Linked DNA regions of Anolis sagrei. The protein of the gene in region 1 purifies or fractionates together with the protein of each later gene. This does not show direct contact. Links are inferred from orthologs where the notes say so. Each region holds a gene or a part of one and is shown on either strand. Other genes may lie near its edges. The genes, in order: ZZZ3, YEATS2 and KAT14.

Region 1 (7,730 bases):
CCAGTGGGATTGCTTCATATAGTTATTATTCTGCTATTCTACATGAAACTGATTTGGAGACATCACTCCTCAAAGGAAATGAGCAAGTATACTAAGCACATCTGAGACAAGGTCTACTACTTACTATTCTCGTCCCTAACTTGTTTTCTCCCTAGCAAACCATGCTACTGATAAGACTTTTGATAGCACAAGTTTTGGAAGTCATTTATGTAATTCAACAGTATGACGATTTTATCAGTCATCTCTCATCAGCTCAGAGACAGAACAAGATAGACACAGCTATGTCAAATTCATTAGGCTTACACTTAAAGAGTTATACTGCCTGTGCAAGTTACTAATTCTGCTGTAGCTTGTATGTAGGACTGGCCTTGTCCACTCAAATAACATACGTATTCTAGACCTCTAAAGCTACATCTATACTATAGAACTGCGGAACTTGCTGACCAAAAGGTCGGCAGTTTGAATCCGGGGAGCAGGGTTAGCTCCCACTGTCAGCCCCAGCTTCTGCCAACCTAGCAGTTCAAAAGTATGTAAATGTGAGATCAATAGGTACCGCTCCAGCGGGAAGGTAACAGCACTCTATGCAGTCATGCTGGCCACATGACCTTGGAGGTGTCTACGGACAATGTCGGCTCTTCGGCTTAGAAATGGTGATGAGCATCACCCCCTAGAGTCAGACACAACTAGACTTAATGTCAAGGGGAAACCTTTACCAATACATACACTGTAGAATTAATGCAGTTTGACATCACTTTAACTGCTCATCAAACTACAAATCCCTAGAATTAATGTATATCCCACCCCTTCTCCCCATGAGGATTCTGGGTGGCTAACAAAACAAAAGGCAAACATTCAATTCCAGAAAGTTTAAAAAATGAATTTAGCAATACAGGTAAACAGTATAAAACATTCAGTCATAAAAACAATCACAATAAAAGACTAATAAAGCACATTTCATGTTAGGGAAAACTACCCTAAAATATAAAGCAGAACATAAAAAAACCCAGAATACCAAAGCTGAGCATCAATTCATTAGCAAGCAGAGCGTGAAGTGCTGTGTGATGTGGCGGTAAAGAATTCAGAGCTTAGGAGGCAAACATGCAGAGTCCAATCTTAAAAAATCACAATAATAAAGAACTAACTGCATTTCTTAATAATGAAGAATTGGGTCTGAGTTACTCTTAACACCCATGGAGTCTGAGTTACTCTAAGGTTTCAAGAGAGAAAAACTCAATCATTACATCTGTCCTGACACACAAGCAGAGAGAGATCACGAAGCACCTAGCACATACTCTGCATGCTAAAGTGTAAGAAGGCAGATTCATAAAACTTGCAGTAGAAAAGTATCAATTTTAAACAACCATTCAGAATGAGTAGAAACAGAGAGAGATAGGGAGACAACAAAATAGATACATTCCCAACTGTCGTACATGAGACATGGGGGAAGGGAAACCCTTAGGCTATACCAGTGGTTCTCAACCTGTGGGTCCTCAGGTGTTTAGACCTACAACTCCCAGAAATCCCAGAAATTACCAGCTGTTAGGATTTCTGGGTGTTGGAGGCCAAAACATCAGGGAACCCACAGGTTGAGAATCACTGATCTGTACGAAGCTAACGTTGCGGCCTTGAGACTTGGGCAGTGTGAGGTTGAATTCCAACATTTCACAACTACTGTATATACTCAGCGTTGCTCCCCAGGTGCCTGAAGAGCTGCTGTCTGCCTTTCTCCTTTCTCCAGCTCTGAGAAGATATACTTTGCAATGTCTCAATGGCAACACTGGGCAACTATTTCCTTCTCCATTTCCCTCATACACCTTCTTCCCTCTTTTATTCCTGTCTTTCCTTCTTCCCTTGCTTTCCCTTCTACATCTCCTTCATTTCCTCCATTGTTTCCTTCCTTCCTATATCTTCCCCCTTTCCCTTCTTTCTTTCCTTCCTTCTCCATTTCCCTCATACACCTTCTCCCCCTTTTCTTGTTTTTCCTTCTTCCCTTGCTTTCTCTTCTACATCTCCTCTTCCCTCCTTCCGTTGTTTCCTTTCTTCTCATCTTCTTCCTTTTCCCTTCTTTCTTTCCTTCATTTCCCTTACACACCTTCTCCCCACTTTTCTTGTCTTTCCTCCTTCTTGCTTTCTCTTCTACACCCTCCTTCTTCCCGCCCTCCATTATTTCCTTCCTTTCTATAACTTCCCCCCGCCCTTTCCTTTCTTCCCCTCATACAGGTCACTTCACTCCCTTTCTTTCCCAGTCACGTGATAGGGAGCCACTTGACCTTTTCTTTTTCCCTCAGCTCTGGGCCTTAAAAGGTCTCCTTTTTCCATTTCAATCCCCACAATTATTTTAAGTTAGATAATGAAGGGACTGTGTGAGGTTGAACTCGGAGGCCCCCGCTTTCAAACTGATCTAACTGCAGCAGGGAGTGCCATAGTTCCTGGAAACATGGACTTTCAAGGTGACAACAGGACTTTGGCTCCAGCAACAGCTTCAATGAAGAAACTCTTTTTCCTCCCCACTAAGTTCCTCCTGCTTCATTGTAACAATTCCCCAATAAAAATACCCTTTTCTCCAACTTTCTCTCTCTGAAGTGATACATTGTGTCCTTTACTGGCTCTAGCACCGTTGCAAATATGAACTTTCCTCTTTCCAAGCCGTGGAACTTCGCTGGCTCACCTGGGATGCTCTTGCAGCATCCCGGAGAAGCCAAAACTGCAATCCTTCAAACCGTAAATATGGAAACCGGCTCGGCCCTGGTATCCGCGGGTTGACTGATCGGCTCCAAATCAGTGCCATCTTTTTCCTAGGTCAATTCTAAGACTAACTGCTATCTTACTTTTTGTTGGAACAGACCCCTGCACCCCAGAAATCCAACTCTTTATGTGGAACCTTATGTGGGGACAAGAAGGTTTCTTTCCATGGCTCCACACTACGATGCTCGTGTTTCCTTTTTGTGCAAGTTGCCCTGACCTGGAGGCCTATCAATCCCACGAAGTCTCTTGTGGTCACTCCCTGGGACCCCCAACCTCTGGCAGGCCAATCTGGCCATTCATGAATTAGACCTATGAATTAACCTCCTGTTTTTATTAATGGACTTTGGCTGCTCGGTGCTTTTATGGACATATACTTTTAGGAACTTTTTTGGACTTTTTGCCAACTTTCATGAACTTTGATGACTTTAGGGTGGCTGAAATGAATTCTCTCTTGACCCTGCATCCCTCCCCCTTCCCATATGAACTCTGTATATGCCCTATGCCCCCATTCATTATATGTATGTATAAAAATTATGAAACAAAGTGACCTTTTCATGAACTATGCCAGCAACTCATGGCTCTAGGGACTTCAGAACTTCCTGAGCCGATAATTCCCTAACAAAAGGACTTGGCAAAAACCATTTGCATGGACAATAAACCAACAGCCCCTCTCCCGGACTTTGGAGGGTCTCATTTACCAGACCATCCAGGAAGCGGCCCATGGACATATTGAAGCATTCAATACAGAAGGCACAGGTCACTGCCTCCCCCATTGTGCCATTTCCCAGTGTCTGAAAGGCATTTCAACTCTCATCATCAAGTAAATATCACAGGATTATGACAATGGAATCAGTGGGGTTCAAAATGTAGGTGAACTATAAATCCCAGCAAGTACAACTCCCAAATGTCAAGTCTATTTTCCTCAAACTTCTCTAGTGTTCATATTTGGGCATGTTGAGTATTTGTGTCAAGTTAGGTCAAGATCTATCATTGTTTGAGTTCACAGCGCTCTCTGGATGTAGGTGAACTACAATTCCAAAACTCAAGGTCAATACCCACCAAACCCTTTCTGTTGGTCATGGGAGTTCTGTGTTCCAAGTTTGGTTCAATTCTATCTTTGGTGAAGTTCAGAATGCTCTTTGATTGTAGGTGAACGATAAATTCCAGCAACTACAACTCCCAAATGACAAAATCAGTCCCACCAGCTCCACTAGTATTCAAATTTGGGCATACGGGGTATTTGTGCCAAATTTGGTATAGTGAATGCAAATACATCCTGCATATCGGATATTTACATTACGCTTCATAACAGTAGCAAAATTACAGTTGTGAAGTAGCAACAAAAATAATTTTATGGTTGGGGGTCACCACAATATGATGAACTGTATTAAGGGGTCATGGCCTTAGGAAGGTTGAGAACCACTGCCCTAAACCTTGCCCCAGCCCTTACCCTAAGCGTCCCCTCCTTTCTACCCTTCCTTCGCTCTCCCCTTCTCTCCCTCCGCCCCCTCTTCCCTTATTCACAGCCACCTTTGCGGCATCTCCATAACGCTCGGAGCTTCCGGGCCCAGCTATCCTACTATCACCTTCCCATGCATGATATAACATGTCAAAGTTGGTTGGCTTGTATGTACACACGGAGTGTCCCCTCTCCCAAATGTGTACCCCCCCCCCCCCCCTTAACGGCTGCTGGTTGCGGCAAAAGGGTTGGGAAGAGGCCTCTGCCCGCCCAGCGCGGCCTTCTTCCTTCCTCCTCGGCTCAGCCGGCAGGCGGAGCTGCAGGGCGAGAGCAGCGGGCCCCTCTCCCTCGCGGGCGGCGCAGGCAAGATGGGGAGGAAGCGGAAGGTGCGGTGCCGCTGCTGCCGCGAGGCGCTGTTTATTGGAGCCGGGGCGGGGGGGGGGAGCGCTGACGTTGCTGCTTGGCTCTGAGAGAGAACAAGGAAGGAGCGCTTCAGCTCCTTCAACAATCAGGTCAGCTCCCCCCCTCCCCCCTCCGCCGCTCAGGACACGGATGAGGCGGAGGGACCCGGATGATGTGTTGGGAGGGGGGAACACTGATGAAAAAGGAGGAGGAGGTGGCGTTCTAATCCTCATGTGATCGGCGCGTGCGGAGGGAGGAGGAGGGAGGAGGCTCGCGCGCCCTGTTCGAAAATCCCACCTGCTCAACTGAGCCTTGTGGGGAGGGGGAAGGGAGAGGGAGTGAAGGAGGCTGCTCTGCGCGCATGCGCACCTGCGTCGTCCCGCCTTTTCCGTAGCTTCAGTCTGGACGCGCGCGCGCACGCCGGATTTGTGTCTGCCTGGGACACGTGCGCGCCTCTTCCTTCCGCCATGTTGGTTCTCAGTGGAGGAGGAGGAGGGGGAAAGAGGAGGAGGAAGAGGGGAAGGTTGAAAGGGGGAGTTCTCGCGAGGTCAGCGCTTGTTCCCGTGGGAGCTGGCCAGAGGCAGGGATGGCGGCGGCGCTGCGCTGAGAGTGATGGGTAATAATGGTAACGGGCAACCGGGAGGGAGGGAGCGAAGGAAGGAGGGAGGGAGGGGGCGGCCCACCTCCGAGCCCGTTGACGCGTGAGGAGAGGCGGGGCTCGGTCACGGGGAGAGACGGAGCGAGTGCTGGGGCCGAGCGGCTCTTTCCCTCCCTGCTTTGGCCCACTCGCCTTCCCCTCAGGCCTCCCGCCCCCCTTCCCTTCCCTTCCCTCGCGTCTCCGAGGCGCCCCCTGTCGTCCCGTCGGCGCCATGGCGGGCATTATCTTCCTTCCCCGAGATTCAACCTAACGGTCAGCCCCCTGAAATCTCTTCCCTCAGACTTCTGCCCTATAACGCCCACCTGTGGCGTGAAGTATTTACATAGAACCATAAAGGAAGGAGGGGAAAAGGCTACAGTAGGCTTGGGTAAACTTGGGCCCTCCAGGTGTTTTGGACTTCAACTCCCACAATTCCTAACAGCCGGTAGGCTGTTAGGAATTGTGGGAGTTGAAGTCCAAAACACCTGGAGGGCCCATGTTTGCCCAGGCCTGGGCTACAGTGCTATTTCCTCACATGTTTACTCTTTTATTTCTTGCTTTTTGTTCCTGTCGAACTTCAGAGCCATCACTGATAATTCTGGTAAAGTCCATGTGCCAAATGTGTCCGCTGCTCTTCGGTACTTTTTAGTTCCCCTGTGTGTTTATATTTCTGTCAACTCCATGCATTTAAAAGGGGTTTTTAAAGCCAAAGAATAACTAGATAAAGTGCATATGTCTTGCTAGCTCTTTCTTCCAAAATATAACTTTTCCAGTACATACTGAACATCTCTTATTTCCAAATCCAAAATACAGACACTCCTCAAATTACAAACATTTGACTTACAAAGGACTCCTAGTTAAGAACAAGGGTGAGACAACAGGAAGTGAGGGTCCTACCACACAGCCATATAACTGAGAATATCAAGGCAGATAATCTACAATATCTGCTTTGAACTGGATTATCTGAGTCCCCATTGACATATTTTCCAGATGTGTACAGTGGATAGTTTACTGGACTCCTTCCACATCTGAATAAAATCCCACATTATCTGCTTTGAACTGGGATATATGGCAGTGTGGATTCAAATTTTCCAGTTCGAAACAGATATTGTGGGTTATTCTACCTTTATACTCTCAGTTATATGGCTGTGTGGAAGAGCCCTGAGTGCCCTTCCAGACTGGCCCAATATCCCAGGATCTGCTCCCAGGTTTTCTGTTTTAAACTGGGTTATATGTGTCCGCATGCCAGATAATCTGGGATAAATCTACCCCCCAGAAGGGAAATTCACTCCTGAAAGAGTTATCATGGGGAAAAGGTGTCTCCACTGAAGTTTTCTCACCATCCCTGTTTCCACAACAAGCCAATATATTTTTTTTTAAAAACCCGCAATTATCACTGGGATGGAAAAGGAGGTAAATCTTAACAGGGGCACAGACAGCAGAACAAAACCACATGGGTGTTCACCCTTCCCTGTTCTATGCAAAGCTAAAATGTGTATACATTTGGCAGGAGTTACACTTGTGAAATGTACATATTCTAACTTACATACAGATTCAACTTAAGAACAAACCAACAGAGCCTATCTTGTTTGTAACCAGGGTCTCCCTGAATTCCAAAATTGTGCACTTGGGTGGTTGAAATAGTGACACTTTTGCTTTCTTAAAGTTACTAAAATATTGTGCTAGCTTACCTTCAGGCTGTGTGTATAAGGTGTATCTCCTGTCTAGAATTCCGTTCCCTCTCTGAGATTTCTTATTGTGTGTGCATATCCAAATATTCCAGAATGATAAATAATTAAAAATCCCAAACACTTCTAGTTTCCAACCATTTTGGATAAGAGGTAGTTGACATATAGAGGTCCTCAAAATAGTTTAGCTGAATAGATTTTGTAGAAAGCAAAGCAAATGTATAATTGTACCTCAGTTCTACAAACTGATATTGTTGGCAGAACTTGTAATTATTTTTAAACCATTTGCTCTCAGTTGTAAAAGAGGTTTTCTCTCACAGCAGGTATTATTGTGTAGTAATTTTGCTGAGTATGCTTTTGAAAGTTGGACAACGAAGAAAGCTGATAGGAACATAACCAATTTATTTGAAATGTAATGCTGGATTCCATGGACTATTAAAATGGCAACTGAATGGGTCCTGGAGCAAATCATGCCTGAATTTTCCCTAGAGCACAAGAGGGCTAAATTGAGATGGTCATACTATGTGGGCATATCATGAGAAGATATAAGTCACCAGAAAATACCATAATGCTTGGTATGCCAGAAGGCAGTAGGAAAAGAGGAAGACCATATTCCAGATGAATAGACTCAATTAAGGAAGCTGTATCCCTTACATTGTAAGACCTAAACAAAGTAATTGGGGATGTGGTGACTTGGAGGTCTCTCATTCATAGAGTCGTTATAAGTTGAAGTCAACTTGATGGCACTTACCAACATATCATGATTCAGAGATTTTCTTTCTCTCTATGCCTCATGCAT
Region 2 (7,865 bases), on another chromosome or scaffold:
AAGAGTCGGAAGTGACTGAACAAATAAACAACAAATAAAACAATCTAAAATAGCAAGATTTTTGTTTTATTTTTTATGATAACAAGCCAATTAAAAAAATACAGTTCTGCTAACCATAGTTCAGTATCTGAGCACCCGTGAATCAAATGCTAGTTCATTGTGATGAGATTCTATCAAATAGCAATTAGAAATTTCCAACAGAATCCAATGAAAGAAGCTTTTCTTAATTTCTGTCTTTTCTGAATATTCAGTTGGTTTGTCCTCATCCAGTCCATTATTGACAGTAGGTAGACACACTGTTTGGGGAGACATGCAGCTTGTGGCAGAATGAAAATCACACATAGTTCACATCTTCGCCAATCCACACACTGCCTTGCTAGAGAAAAGATATGCCATGCAAATGTTCAGTAAAGAATAAGCTGTGTACTCTTTGTTATGCAGAGCAACATATATAGTCATGCGAACAGTTGCATTGACTCGCAAAATGTCCTTTGAGAGAGATTCAAATGGTCCTTGAATGTCCATGTGAAGGATCTTCTTCCAGCAGCTCAAAAGCAGAAAATTATACTACTTGTCTTGGCAAGCTCCTGCACAGAAAACCTAAACATGTAACTGTTGCCAGAACTCCCAGGCTCAGCTAACACCCCGGGAATAACCCAACCAATCAGCTTAATGCATTGCATTTTTCAGTTAACACACACACCAACTGATTTTACATGCTTAAACACAGCTGTGTTGAATTTGCAGCCAAAAAGACTCCATTAGTGAAGTCTCTGCAATGCCTACTAACACAGAAAATCCCTTATCAAGTTGCTTATATTCCACAAGCCGATCTTCATCATATACAGTAATACTCTCATGATAGTAAATAACTAAAGAATCAGAGGAACTTTAAGAGGCATCTATTCCACCCTAGGGAGACAATGTGATATAATGGTTTGAGCACTGGACTATGATGCTGGTGAACAGGGTTCGAATCCCCACTTAGCCATGAAACCCAGTGTGTCGCCTTGGGCAAGTCACATTTCCTCAGCCTCAGAGGAAGGAAATGTAAAACCTTTTCTGAACAAATCTTGCCATGAAACAGCTGTGATAGTTGGGTTGTTGTAGGCTTTTCAGGCTATATGGCCATGTTGTAGAGGCATTCTCTCCTGACGTTTCGCCTGCATCTATGGCAAGCATCCTCAGAGGTAGTGAGGTCTGTTGGAACCAGGAAAAAGGGTTTATATATCTGTGGAATGACCAGGGTGGGACAAAGGACTCTTGTCTGCTAAAGCTGTGATAGCTTTACCTTAGGTTGGCCATAAGTTGGAAACCACTGGAAGAAACACAACAATTGGGTGTTTTTTGTTGTTGTTGTTGTTGTGTGTCTTCAAGTTGTTTCCAACTTATGGCCAACCTAAGGTAAAGCTAGTGCTAAAGGACCCCAGGAAAAGGTTGTGCAACCTGTGTTTAAAGATATTATAGAATGTAAGACATCAACTGAAAATTTAAAGATATTATAGAATGTAAGACATTAAAGGCAGTTTCAGATTTAAAAAAACAATTAAAAAAGAAGAAAAGGGACATTAAAAAATCCCCACTTTTACACCAGATTAGCACCAGTTCTGTAATGTTGTAGACACATTGCAAAGAGTTCTTCGGCTCTTTGCAATAGAGCTTGCTAAACTGCTAGGATTCCTTTGTTGAAATACCCTTCAGTCAATGAAAACTTATGCTACCAGCTTCTTTCTCTTAGTCTCAATGATGTTACAAGATCCAATTTCATTGTTAGAGTTGTCAGAGGGAAAACTGGAGAGGGCACTGGCATCTCTAATAATTGTGTGGAAGAGGATTTTTCAACAGGTGTTGTTTGTGACCTGGCTGCATACCTGATGGAATTCTCTCTTCTGCACAGCCATTAAAAGTATAGGAGCCACCTACAGTTTCCACACATTATTTTGCTTGAACAACACCTGAGGGTTTCCTGAGTTGTGACGCCTCTGGCTCAGGGAGAATGGAGGACCCATCTACATGGTCATATGATCCAGTTTCTGAATACAGATTATCTGCTTTGAACTGGATAATATGAGTCTACATTGTCATATTTTCAAAAAGTTTCCCCTTGACATCAAGTCCAGTCGTGTTCAACTCTGGGGTTGGTGCTCATCTTCATTTCTAAGCCGAAGAGTCGGCGGTGTCCGCAGATGTCTCCAAGGTCATGTGGCCAGCATGACTGCATGGACCGCAAAAGCAGTACCTATTTATCTACTCACATTTGCATGTTTTCGAACTGCTAGGTTGGCAGAAGCGGTGACTAACAGCGGGAGCTAACTCCACTCCCCGTATCTGAACCGCTGTTCAGCAGCTCAGCGGTTTAAATGCCTCCACCACCAGGGGGACCTTATATATGACTATATTGTACTATATTATTATACTATAATACATATAATATACCAATATGCTGATGAGAATGTAGTCTGTGTGCAGTCCAAAACACCTGGAGGGCCCGTTTGCCCATGCCTGCCCTAGCCCATCACATGCCAGATTCTCTGGTATGGCCACCTGGCAGGTCTGACTCCTCCATTACCCACCTTCGATGGTGCCGCCCTATCTCCATCAACCACTGTTAAGAGCTTAGGTGTCATCCTGGATTCACAGCTGACAATGGAAGCTCAGATTGCTGCTGCCAGCAAACAGGCCTTTTTCCATCTACGACAAGTGAAGCCACTGGCACCCTACCTATCTGACGAGGCTCTGGCAACTGTCATCCATGCCACGATCACATCTAGGCTGGACTATTGCAATGCCCTGTATGAGGGCCTTCCGATGTCTACGACCCGAAAGCTTCGTATTGTTCAGAATGCGGCAGCCAGGCTACTCACAAGAACGCCCATGAAATGCCATATAACACCAGTGCTGCAACATTTACATTGGCTTCCAACTGAGTACCCTGGCCTGTATAAGATGCTAGCTCTGACCTTTAAAACTCTTTACGGCCAGGGTCCATCGTACCTTAGGGACCGCCTCTCCTTTTCCCATCATCGGAGGTCGCAACGACCAGCCCAACGTGACTTACTCCATATACCAGGTCCTAGAGAAGTGCACTTGGAAAGGACCAGACGCAGGGCTTTTTCTATTTCTGCCCCTGCCTTGTGGAATTCCTTGCCGCCCTACATGAGAGCCATGCGTGACTTAGGGCCTTTTACTCTCGCACTTAAGACCTGGCTTTTTACTAGAGCATTCGATCTCTGTTGATTTTTAATTTTTGTATGTATGTATTTTATCTTTTATAATTTAGCTGTAAATCGCCTAGAGCATTCTCGGATGGAGGGCAATTAATAAGTTATTAAATGATGATGATGATGATGATGATAAACTACTATGCCATCAAAACATGACAATATCACAAAATCTGACACTGTTTGCTTTACAGATTGGTTGTGCTGGTGGGATTGTTTGCAGGCTATTAGGAATGGTGAGAGTTGAAGTCCAGAACACTTGGAGGGCCCAGATTTGCCCATGCCTGCTTTATACTAACCACTTGCAGCCTGAGCTAACTGGTAAAAGGATAGAGATGACTAATGTGGTAGAGTCTCCTCTGGAGGTTTGGAAGCAGAGACTGGATGGCCATCTGCCGGGAGTTCTTTGATTGTGTATCCTCGCATGACAGAATAGGGTCACTAACTGGTAACAAGATGTGGTAGCAGGGCCGTAGCCAGAAATTTTTTTTGGGGAGGGTTGACAATTTCGGGGGGGGGGGGTGTTGAAATTTTTGGGGAGGGTTGAAAATTTCAGGGGGCGGGGTTGAAACCTGCCTCCTAGTGCACGCTAAAGCAAAGAGCACAGCAGGGGGCAGAGCAACCTTCAGTAGCCTGCAGCTCCACCCCTGCCAACCACCTCCACCAAGTCTGGCCTCCGCATTCAGCACACACACACCCAACTTGGTTGCTTCACTACATCGGCTATTGCTGCAAGTAATGACAGTGTGAATAAATTGTCAATATTTGCTTGAGATAGTGCTTGCAGTTCTGGAGATACTCTTAATTTTTTGCATCTCATAGACTTAGCATGGGGATTTGGTTAACCAGTTAAAATTCATGAGTAAACCAGGTTTTTTAAAAAAAATCTGAAACATTTCGGGGGGGGGGTTGAACCCCTAAAACCACCCCCTCGCTACAGGCCTGTGTGGTAGAGTCTCCTTCTCTGGAGGTTTGAAAGCAGAGACTGGATGGCCATCTGCTGGGATTGCTTTGATTGTGTATCCTCGCATGACAGAATAGGGCCTCCAACTGGTAAAAGGATGAAGATGACTAAAGCGGAAGAGTCTCCTTCTCTGGAGGTTTGGAAGCAGAGCCTGCGCGGCCATCAGCCGGGAGTGCTTTGATTGTGTATCCCTGCATAACAGAATAGGGTGTCTAACTGGCAAAAGGATGGGGATGACTAATGTGGAAGAGTCTCCTTCTCTGGAGGTTTGAAAGCAGAGGCTGGATGGCCATCTGCCGGGAGTGCTTTGATTGTGTATCCCTGCATGACACAATATGGTCTCTAACAAGTAAAAGGATGGGGATGACTAATGTGGAAGAGTATCTCTCTCAGGAGGTTTGAAAGCAGAGGCTGGATGGCCATCTGTCGAGAGTGCTTTGATTGTGTATCCCTGCATGACAGAACAGGGATGTCTCTGTCTAGGATTCTGAGCTAGAAGGAGCCCTCCTTCGCGGGGGGAGTCTAGGGAGAGGCAATCCTGGGCGCCGCGGGGCAGACCAGGCTGGGGGAGAGAGGGGTCCTTCTTCTGCCGGCTCTGCCCGCCCCTCGGCCTCTCTCCGCCTGCGCAGCCGCGCCTCCTGGGTGGCCCCGGCGCTGGATGGCGGCTGCGCGTTGCAAGCGTCGGCCTCGCGGAGCCTCAAGCGGGTGCCTTGGTTGGCTGGCTGGCTGACGCGCGAGGCTCGCCCACTCGCAGCGGCCTTCCGGGGAGAACTTCTCAGCCGAGCCACCGGTGAGTCGGCGCTGCAGATCCGGCGGGAGGTTTACCGGGCTGGGAAGGGGGGGGGGGTGAGAAAGCGCGCGCTGCGGCGCATGCGCGGGGTCGCCTCTGCCCAGTGCTCCCGGGTGAGTTAGTTGTTGGGGAGGGGAACCTTTTTGCAAAAAAGAGGCAAGTTTTGCTCTTTGAAAGGAGGAGAACTTTCCGAATTGTATTGGTAAACTCTCCCATACACTTTGCAGGAAAGTTCATAGAATCATAGAAGATGGGAAATATCTTTCCCCCTCCCCCAAAAAACTACCCAGTTCCAAGTTTCCAACCTCGTCCTGCCATGCAGCAATACACAATCAAAACACTCCCGACAGATGGACATGCTTAAAGAAATCAGAGGGTTTTTTAAAAAAAAAAATCTGCATTGCAACCTTGTCTTTAGCGTTGATTTCGCTTTGGAGTCCCACGTGCAAGGCTGGAAAGTTGCACCTGTCTCTTCCTTTACATTTTGATGGTGTCTAAACAATATATATAATGCATTATATTATATATTGTATATACATATAATATTTATAATGTTATAATGTAATGCAATATAATAGTACTACTAATAATATGATATTATAATTATATATTTATACTAGCCGTCCCCTGCCACGCGTTGCTGTGGCCCATTCTGTATATATGTGTTTTGTGTGTATACATATGTGTTTATATATTTGTGTATCTGTGTATATGTGTGTTTCTGTATATATATATATATATATATGTGGGTGTATATATGTGTGTGTAGATGTGTATATACGTGTGTATATATTTGTGTGTTTACATGTGTATATGTATATTGTGTCTATGTGTGCTTGCCTATATACATATTTGTGTTTATATATGTGTGCATGTGTATATGTATATATGTGTGTATGTAAATGTATGTGTGTGTATTTGTGTGTGCTTGGGTATATATATACGTATGTGTATGTATGTGTGCATGTGCATATGTATATGAGTGTGTGTGTGTGTATATATATATATATGGTGTATTTTGGGGGTTTTAAAGTCCGTTCTGTATTTATATTTTTAGGGGTGATGAACACTTGTTGGACTGTTAGGTGTATTGAGTCAAAATTTGTTGTCAATTTGTCTAGTGGTTTCTGAGTTCTGTTAATCCCACAAACGAACATTACATTTTTATTTATATAGATTACATGTAATATTACTAATAATATTACAATATAATGGTATAATACAATATAGTAATATTTAATACTTATATTGTACTATGCTAATAATAAAATATATTGTATGTATATATATCTTGTAATCCGCTCTGAGTCCCCTTCGGGGTGAGAAGGGCGGCATGTAAATGTCGCAAATAAATAAATCCACATTGGATCCAATCCTCAAGATCACAACAATGCAATATTGTGATGTTGTGATATTCCAGGATTCACAAAGAGTCCCTCAGGAAGGTTTTCCCCAAGTACACATAGGACTCCAAATTCACACACACACCCCATCCCTTAAGGTAGCATTTGAGTGCATCTACACTGTAGAATTAATGCATTTTGACACTGCCTTATCTGCCATGGCTTAATGCAATGGAGTTCTGAGGTTCATAGTTTGGTGAGGCACCAGCACTCTATGGCAGAGAAGGCTAAAAAGAACTTGTGAAACTACAATTCCCCTGATGGAACTGAGGCAGTTGAAGTGTTGTCAAACTGCATTAATTCTACAGTGTAGAGATAATAATAACAATATTCCTAACCCACCTCTCTCCCCAAGCAGATTCAGGGCGGCTTCCTGTCCTGAGTTGCCCTTCAAAATAGCCTTTAGACAATGTTGAAAGTAAAAGAAAAATGCTTTACTTCAGTAAACACAAAGGATAAGCAAATGCAATTGAAAAGTGCAAAGGAAAACAAGAAAGTCTTAATCCAGACACAAATTAAAGTCCCAAAAGAAACACCAGTCTTCCATCAGACAACGGACGATGAACTAAATTCTTAGCAGCAGACACAAAGCAGATTCCATTGGAGTGAAAACAGCAGTAACAGGGTTGTTGTTACCAGCAAAAGCTGACTCCTCCTGATTTGTAGCCCTGAATTCTCCATGCAGGAGGTGCTAGGGCGTCTCCCAATTAGCTCAGCGTTTTTAGCAGCTGTCCTAGCTGAATGCTGTCTGTGCTCTCTCTTTTCGTCTCTATAGAAATGTGGACGCTTTCAAACCCTCATCATCTGATTCTTCTTCTCCCTCCAATTTCTGAGCACTTCCCTGCTCCCCTTCCTCCTCCGAAGATGAGGAATCCCTAACACTTCCAAAACAAGGCAGACATTCAATGTCCCATACAATCTATTTAAATAAAAATGTAATGTTGGTTTGTGAGATTAGCATAACTCAAAAAGCATTGGATGAATTGACACCAAATTTGGACACAATACACCTATCAGGCCGACAAGTGACCATCATTCATAAAAACACTGAAAAACACAACAGATGGGACATAAAAGGCCAAAAAAGCAAAAAGACACTACAGCGCATGTGCAAAAACAACTCACCCTGGCAAACAAAACGCACAATAGCATATCCACTCTCTCTTCCAGACTACAGCTCCCAGCATCCCCTAGACCAGGCCTTTTTGGAGAGGAGGATGATCCAAATGCACTTTACTTTCAAGATGCAAGCTTTCTTCTTCTTGGATTTCTTTGAAAGCATCCCAATCCTTGCATATTTCCACTTTCCTATTCTTGGACTGTAACTTCCAGCAATCATCCAAATAAGATAGATAGATAGATTAGATAGATAGATCAGGAGGATTGCTGAGAGTTGCAGTCCAAGAATAGGTAGAGAAGGGAGAAAGGGGAGAAAGAGGAAGGGGAAGAAAAGGGGGGGAAGGAAGGAAAGAGGAAGAGAAGGAAGG
Region 3 (7,415 bases), about 26 Mb from region 1:
GGACATAAGGTCATAGAACCCAGAATATCAAGGCAGACCATCCACAATATCTGCTTTGAACAGGGCTATCTGTGGGTCCTTCCAGACAGGCCCTATATCCCTGGATCTGATCCCAGGTTTTCTGTTTATCCCAAATTATCTGGGACTTATATAATCCACTTTAATGCAGATCCTGGGATATAGGGCCTGCCTGGAGGGCCCTGAGTCCACAGTGCCATATAATCCAGTTCAATGTGGATTTTATACAGCTGTGTGGAAGGGGCCCTAGTGTAATCAGAAAGACATCTGGTGCCTTTGCTTTGCCATAAAGGTAAAGAAGATAATTTTTCCAATCCAGCAACATTGACTAGGCATCCTAGTCACATATGAGAGTGCAGCAAGGAGCCAAACAAACAAACCAAGCTGGAATGTGTCCAGAGGAGGGCGACTAAAATGATCAAGGGTCTGGAGAACAAGCCCTATGAGGAGCGGCTTAAAGAACTGGGCATGTTTAACCTGAAGAAGAGAAGGCTGAGAGGAGATATGATGGCCATGTATAAATATATGAAATGATGTTATAAGAAAGGGGGAGCAGGCTTGTTTTCTGTTGCCCTAGAGACTAGGACGTGGAACAATGGCTTCAAACTACAAGAAAGGAGATTCCATGTGAACATTAGGAAGAACTTCCTGACTGTGAGAGCTGTTCAGCAGTGGAACTCTCTGCCCCAGAGTGTGGTGGAGGGTCCTTCTTTGGATGCTTTTAAACATAGGCTGGATGGCCATCTGTGTGTGTGTGTGCTTTGAATGCAATTTTCCTGCTTCTTGGCAGGGGGTTGGACTGGATGGCCCATGAGGTCTCTTCCAATTCTATATTCTACTAGCCATCCCCTGCCATGCATTGCTGTGACCCACATGGGGGTTCTGGGTGGGAGGTTTGGCCCAATTCTATCATTGGTGGAGTTCATAATGTTTTTTGATTGTAGGTGAACTATAAATCCCACCAACTACAACTCCCAAAAGTCAAGGCTCTATTTTCCCCAAACTCCACCAGTGTTCACATTTGGACATATTGAGTATTTGTGTAGAGTTTGGTCCAGATCCATCATTGTTTGAGTCCACAGTGATCTTTGGATGTAGGTGAACTACAACTCCAAAACCAAAGGACACTGCCCACCAAACCCTTGCAGTATTTTCTATTGGTCATGGGAGAACTGTGTGCCAAGTTTGGTTCAATTCAATTGTTGGTGGAGTTCAGAATGCTCTTTGATTGTAGGTGAACTATAAATCCCAGCAACTGCAATTCCCAAATGTCAAAGTCTATTTTCCCCAAACTCCACCAGTGTTCATATTTGGGCATATTGAATATTTGTGCCAAGTTTGGTCCATATCCATCACTGAGTGCACCATGCTCTCTGGATGTAGGTGAACTACAACTCCAAAACTCAAGGCAATGCCCACCAAACCCTTTCAGTATTTTCTGTTGGTCATGGAAGTTATGTGTGCCAAGTTTGGATCTATTCCATCGTTGGTGGGGTTCAGAATGCTCTTTGATTGTAGGTGAACTACAAATCCCAGCAACTACAACTCCCAAATGACAAAATCAGTTTTTTTGAGTGAAAGACATACATTGGGTTGTTAGATGTCTTGTGTCCAAATTTGGTGTCAATTCGTCCAGTGGTTTTTGAGTTCTGTTAATCCCACAAACGAACAATACATTTTTATTTATATAGAGAAGAAGATAAGACGATCCTAAGTTTCTCTTCTCAGCACTTGTTTAAAAAAGAGCAGTGTAGAAGCCCCGCCCCTCAGAAACGGGGAGGGGAGCAAAGGGAGGGAGCAATCTTACTCGGCGCCCTGCAAGCATGCGCATTAGGGGGCGCGCGGAAGCACGCATGCGCAGATGAGCCGCCATGTCGACGGCCTCCAAAGTGGTGCTGGGGGCCTCGCTGCTGCTCTCCGGCGGGGTCGTGGCGGGCGTCCACCTCCAGCAGAGGCGCCTGCAAGAGGTAACGGCGCGCGGTTTCCCTAGTGACGTCATCCCCAAAGGTGCTAGAAGCCTTTTTTCCGCCTCGCGCGCGGCGGAAGTGCTTGCTTCCCTGAGAAGAGACTTTGAGAGGCCTCTGTAGAGGGCCCAGCCTTGCCTCCCTTCCTTTGGCGCTGTATTGGCATGGCACCCTTTTCAAAACCATAGCTTCCACATGAAGTAACACCAGAATTAGAAGAATGCCAGAACTTCAATGTGTTTTGGAAGGGAGAGTAGATAGAATAGAGTCTCTGAATAGATAGAGAGTCTCTGAATTCCTCTCACTTCCACTAGATCAGTGGTTCTCAACCTGGGGTCCCCAGATGTTTTTGGCCTACAACTCCCAGAAATCCCAGCCAGTTTACCAGCTGTTAGGATTTCTGGGAGTTGAAGGCCAAAAACATCTGGGGACCCCAGGTTGAGAACCACTGCACTAGATTATGAGGCAAGAATATAGCATTAAGTAGAAGCAAACCACTAGAGGAGTGGTTCCCAACCTTTGGTCCTCCCAGTGTTTTGGACTTCAGCTCCCACAATTCCTAACAGGAGCAGTGGATTAAACCCCTGTGCTGGCAGGACTGAAGACCAACAGGTCGCAGGTTCAAATCCGGGGAGAGGAGGGTGAGCTCCCTCTATCAGCTCCAGCTCCTCATGTCGGGACATGAGAGAAGCCTCCCACAAGGATGATAAAAACATCAAATCATCTGGGCGTCCCCTGGGCAACGTCCTTGCAGACGGCCAATTCTCTCACACCAGAAGCGACTTGCAGTCTCTCAAGTCGCTCCTGACACGACAAAAAGAAAAATTCCTAACAGCTGCTAAAATGGCTGGGATTTCTAGCAGTTGAAGTCCATAACACCTGGAGGATTAAAGGTCGGGAACCACTTGCACTAGAGAGCTGCTTGGCATCATTTACTACCAAGTCGGAAATGACAAAGGCCCCTTCTAAAATGCTGATGGCGAGTTCGCCCTAGACCCCTGCTTTCCAGCTGATCTGACCATATCATCCAGTTCAAAGCAGATAATTTGGATTTTTTATCTCTCCAAATAATTTTTATTAAACACTAGCTGTACCCGCCACATGTTGCTGTGGCCAACCTTCCCTCCTTTCTCTCCTCCTTCCTTTCTCTTCCCCCTTCCTTTTTCCCTCCTTCCTTCCCTTTTTTTCTTTCATTCTCTCCTTCCATCTCTTCCCTTCCTCCCCCCTTTTCTTTCCCTTCCTCTTTCTCCCCTTTCTTCCTTCTCTACCTATTCTTGGACTACAACTCCCAGCAGTCCTCCTGTTCAATCTATCTACCTACCCATCTTATCCATCTCCATCTACTCAGTCTACCTTATCTATCTGGATTATTGCTGGGAGTGGCAGTCCAGGAATAGGAAATTGGAAATATGCAGGGATTGGGATGCTCTCAAAGAAATCCAAGGAGAAGAAAGCTTTCAGCTTGGAAGCAGTGCATTTGGATCATCCTCCTCTCCTAAAGGGCCTGGTCTAGGGGATGCTGGGAGTTGTAGTCCGGAAGAGAGTGTGGATATGCTTTTATGTGTTTTGTTTTCCAGGGGGAGTCGTTTTGCGCATGCGCTGTAGTGTCTTTTTGCTTCTTTTGGCTTTAAAGTCCCTTCCGCTGTGTTTTTCAGTGTTTTTATGAGTGATGGTCACTTGTTGGCCTAATAGGTGTATTGTGTCCAAATTTTGTGTCAATTCGTTCAGTGGTTTTTGAGTTGTGTTAATTCCACAAACAAACTTTACATTTTTATTTATATAGATTTACTAGATTAGATTGTTTTTACAAATAATAATGATTCTTGGATAGTTTTCTCTGTTTAATTTGTAAATTGTTTATATACTTATTAGTATAACATAAATTATTGTTTGGCTGCAGGGCAGTTAGCAACACTTGAAAACTTATGTTAGTTGCTAGGAAAAAGATAGCTCAGTCTAATTTTTGTTTTTCAACACAACTTGAGAAGTTTCACTGTGGGGCGTTCTTTCCAATATCATTTTTCCTGTGAAGTAAAAATGATCATATCCTTCTTTCAGAGGCTACGCGAAGGAGTGTTGAGAGACTTTGAGAGACAGAATCATAAACAAGAATATATTAACCTTTTGGAGGAACGTTCTGCCTTGATCCAACAACGTGAAATGGAAAGCAAAATTCAAGTGCTCAAAAAATGCTAACAGTGACGGAGAAGAATTGAAATTGAAATTTCCTGGTCCTTTCAGTAATTGCATAGGTTTCTTGATGGTTGAGATAATCTTCATATGTCTAATGCTATTAGCAGAGGAAGCTTCTAGCATACCAAAAAAATCCTCTTTTAAGAAACAATGGATAATAGTATGTACATAAGTGAAATGATGAGTTGTCATGATGATGAAGCAACAAGGACGTCCCCTTCAGAAGGACTGGAAGAAGGGGAAGTGGAAGGGGAGACTCTTCTCATAGTGGAATCTGAAGATCAGGCATCAGTGGATTTGAGTCATGATCAGAGTGGAGATTCTGTGAATAGTGATGAAGGGGAAACATCCTGGTCAGAGGAGCTGTCCTATTATTGCGAAAGATGCCAGAAATGGATAGCTGCAAGTAAGAATCCCTTATATTTAATTTTTGTGGTTTTCAGAACTCCAGGTTTATTCCCTTTTTGTCTGTCTGCCTGTCTCTCTCTCTCTGTATTTATGTGTATGAAAATGATGTATGTGTTTCTCTGTCATTTGAAATACAGTCCATCTAGAATATATGGTTTATGGTTAAACCTTCATTGTTTAATGAGAGTAACAACTATGCAAATGGATTCGTACAAATAAAATTAAAATGCTGAACAAATTACGTCTGCTGTGGATGGTTTTTCCCCTCTCCTCCAGGATATATGCTAAGCTGCTACAAGTTTTGGGCATCATTGCTGTCTTGCTCTGTTTGCTGATAAGAGAAAACCGACTGCTTAGGCTTTAACTGTTGAGCAGTTATGATCATAGTCATTATGAAGTTAAATTCCTTGAAGCCCCACATTCAAATCTAAGGTGGTTCTTTCTGTATGCAGAGACTGGTCTGTTATTGCTCTCAGCTGTAGTATTTGCACTGTGTAGGATCTTATTCTAGAAATTCATCTGTGTCCCTATCCACACTGACAAGTTAATGCAGTTCAAAACTAGCTAGACAACAAATGGCCATGAAAGCTAGCAAAAGAAAGCCCTTAATGCATATCAGTGCTCTATGGTTTGTGTAATCACCATCTGAGCCTCAAACTGATTCCAGGATTTTCTATGTAATCATCTGCAGAGCAAAGCCACTTTTTTGATACCAGTTTGAAACTGCATTAAATGGCTTTTGTAGGTGGGGTCCTAGATTCATGGAGTGGTGGTATCTGCTGTGTAAAGAGAAGCTAGAAAAACTCCAGCATGCACCATGATTTTTTTGGACGTTGATTGCTGATTCTAAATAAGCCTCATAATCAGTACAATATAAATAGTGACACAGTTTGTTTCAGTACCAGGCAAGAAATCCTTCTACAGGTTTCTGTCTTTGAACGCCTTGTTTTCTGATATGTTGCTCTTTCAAGGCTTGCAAAATTACACACAAGTTCCAGTAATTTGATGACAGGTCCACTGTTCTATCACATCTTGTCTATGAGGTTAACTTGGGACTGCTCATATATATGTTACACTATACTGTACTGAGGAGCCCCTGGTGGCACACTGGGTTAAAGTGTGAGCTGCTGAGCTTGTTGACTGAAAGGTCGCAGGTTCGATTCCTGGGAGCGGCGTGAGCTTCCGCTTTCAGCTCCAGCTTCTGCCAACCTAGCAGTTCGAAAACATGCAAATGTTAGTAGATCAATAGGTACCACTCTGGCGAGAAGGTTACGGCGCTCCATGCAGTCATGCTAGCCACATGACCTAGGAGGTATCTATGGACAACACTGGCTCTTTGGCTTACAAATGGAGATGATCACCACACCCAAGAGTCGGACACAACTGGACTTAATGTCAAGGGAAAAAAATGCTGCAGTCAGAATGCACTTGTAAGCTACCCCCCCCCCCTCCCCCGGGTTCCACTTCCCAACCAATTCCACTTTCTGACAGTGTTGTGGTCCTTAGACTATCAAATAAGTGAAAGCCTCCTGTACTAATTATCTGTTGATTCCCTGTCATTTGTTTAGTTACATACTGGTATGTAACTAAACAAATAATAAAAGTCATGAAGCTTATGGATTATGATCTGATTTTTCTAAAAATATCTAGCCTTATATATTTTCAGGGTGTTCAATAGTATTTCAGTCAGTATTTCTTACAGTTCAGCAAAAAAAGGTTAAAGTGTTCAGATTTTCAAAAGGCAACCTGCTTAGAGTCAGTATTTCTGTCAATCTTTTAATGCTAATAAATTGAAATGTAATTAAAGCATAAATTATTCAGTCTCGTTAGTTTCTCTTAAGGAGCAACATATCTAGTAAGAACCTTCTTACTGAAGTCAGGGGATCTCCACTCTGATAGAATGCAATGTGCAGTTTTACAGTTTATGACAAACCTGAAGCCTTTCCTTGCTTGTTTATAGGTCAGGTGAGAGAACAGATCACCCATCTCAAAGGTGATAACTTTTTCAAGTTTACTTGCTCTGATTGCGCTGAAGATGGGAAGGAGCAGTTTGAACGGCTAAAACTAACATGGCAGCAAGTAAGTAGCAAACAAGCAGTAATGGAGTAAGAAGGTTTCAAATTTCTGTGTAATGATATACACTGGGGATCTTTTGTTTGTTTAGTGAGATTCTAGTGATTTTGTTAAACCTATGCTAACTTTTTGATGCAAAGGCAAAAAGAAGTGATTTTTGAGCTAGAGCAGTTCAAAACTCATTACAAATATAATCCTTTCTTAACATTAAAAGACACAGCTATGAACATGGAAAGTGGCATTATGCCTTGTAGCCCAGTGGTTCTCAGCCTGTGTTTTGGCCTTCAACTCCCAGAAATCCTAACAGCTGGTAAACTGGCTGGGATTTCTGGAAGTTGTAGGCCAAAACATCTGGGGACCCACAGGTTGAGAACCACTGTTGTAGCCCCATGTTCCTTCAAACACTCTTGTGCCTATATAATGAACCATGCTGGTTGTACACATTATGTTAGCAAGCACTCGGTTTAATCCAGAATTGACTACCTTCTTCATTTTTAATAATGATAAGAAATAATAATAATAATAATAATAAAACTTTATTTATTGACCGCCCTCTCTTCCCGAAGGGATTCAGCGCGGATCACAAGAAATAACAAAAGTGGCAAACATTCAATGCTAGAAAACAAATAAACAAAATTCAAGGCAAAACATACAAGAAAATAAACTCAGTGTAACTTATAAACAATCAAACCAAGGATTAAAATACATAAACTTCATAAACACAAGATGTCGACCAATTAAAATACAGTACATTAAAAG

What was found.
Region 2: the proteins of ZZZ3 (region 1) and YEATS2 purify together in Homo sapiens (affinity purification with mass spectrometry; 3 studies listed by BioGRID, with this or other methods). This does not show direct contact. The link is inferred for Anolis sagrei from reciprocal best matches to the Homo sapiens genes ZZZ3 and YEATS2.
Region 3: the proteins of ZZZ3 (region 1) and KAT14 purify together in Homo sapiens (affinity purification with mass spectrometry; 4 studies listed by BioGRID and IntAct, with this or other methods). This does not show direct contact. The link is inferred for Anolis sagrei from reciprocal best matches to the Homo sapiens genes ZZZ3 and KAT14.

The regions. Positions count from the first base shown.
Region 1 is NC_090024.1:159,679,649-159,687,378, forward strand, and holds the start of ZZZ3 (ZZ-type zinc finger-containing protein 3), read left to right. Parts: upstream 1-4,648; 5' UTR 4,649-4,716; intron 4,717-5,131; exon of another isoform or gene 5,132-5,222; intron 5,223-7,730.
Region 2 is NC_090023.1:219,318,427-219,326,291, reverse strand, and holds the start of YEATS2 (YEATS domain-containing protein 2), read left to right. Parts: upstream 1-4,837; 5' UTR 4,838-4,975; intron 4,976-7,865. UniProt on the Homo sapiens protein: Chromatin reader component of the ATAC complex, a complex with histone acetyltransferase activity on histones H3 and H4. YEATS2 specifically recognizes and binds histone H3 crotonylated at 'Lys-27' (H3K27cr).
Region 3 is NC_090024.1:133,210,467-133,217,881, forward strand, and holds the start of KAT14 (cysteine-rich protein 2-binding protein), read left to right. Parts: upstream 1-4,325; coding exon 4,326-4,581; intron 4,582-6,543; coding exon 6,544-6,662; intron 6,663-7,415. Other genes in the region: protein PET117 homolog, mitochondrial, read left to right, coding at 1,890-1,985, 4,041-4,178. UniProt on the Homo sapiens protein: Component of the ATAC complex, a complex with histone acetyltransferase activity on histones H3 and H4. May function as a scaffold for the ATAC complex to promote ATAC complex stability. Has also weak histone acetyltransferase activity toward histone H4.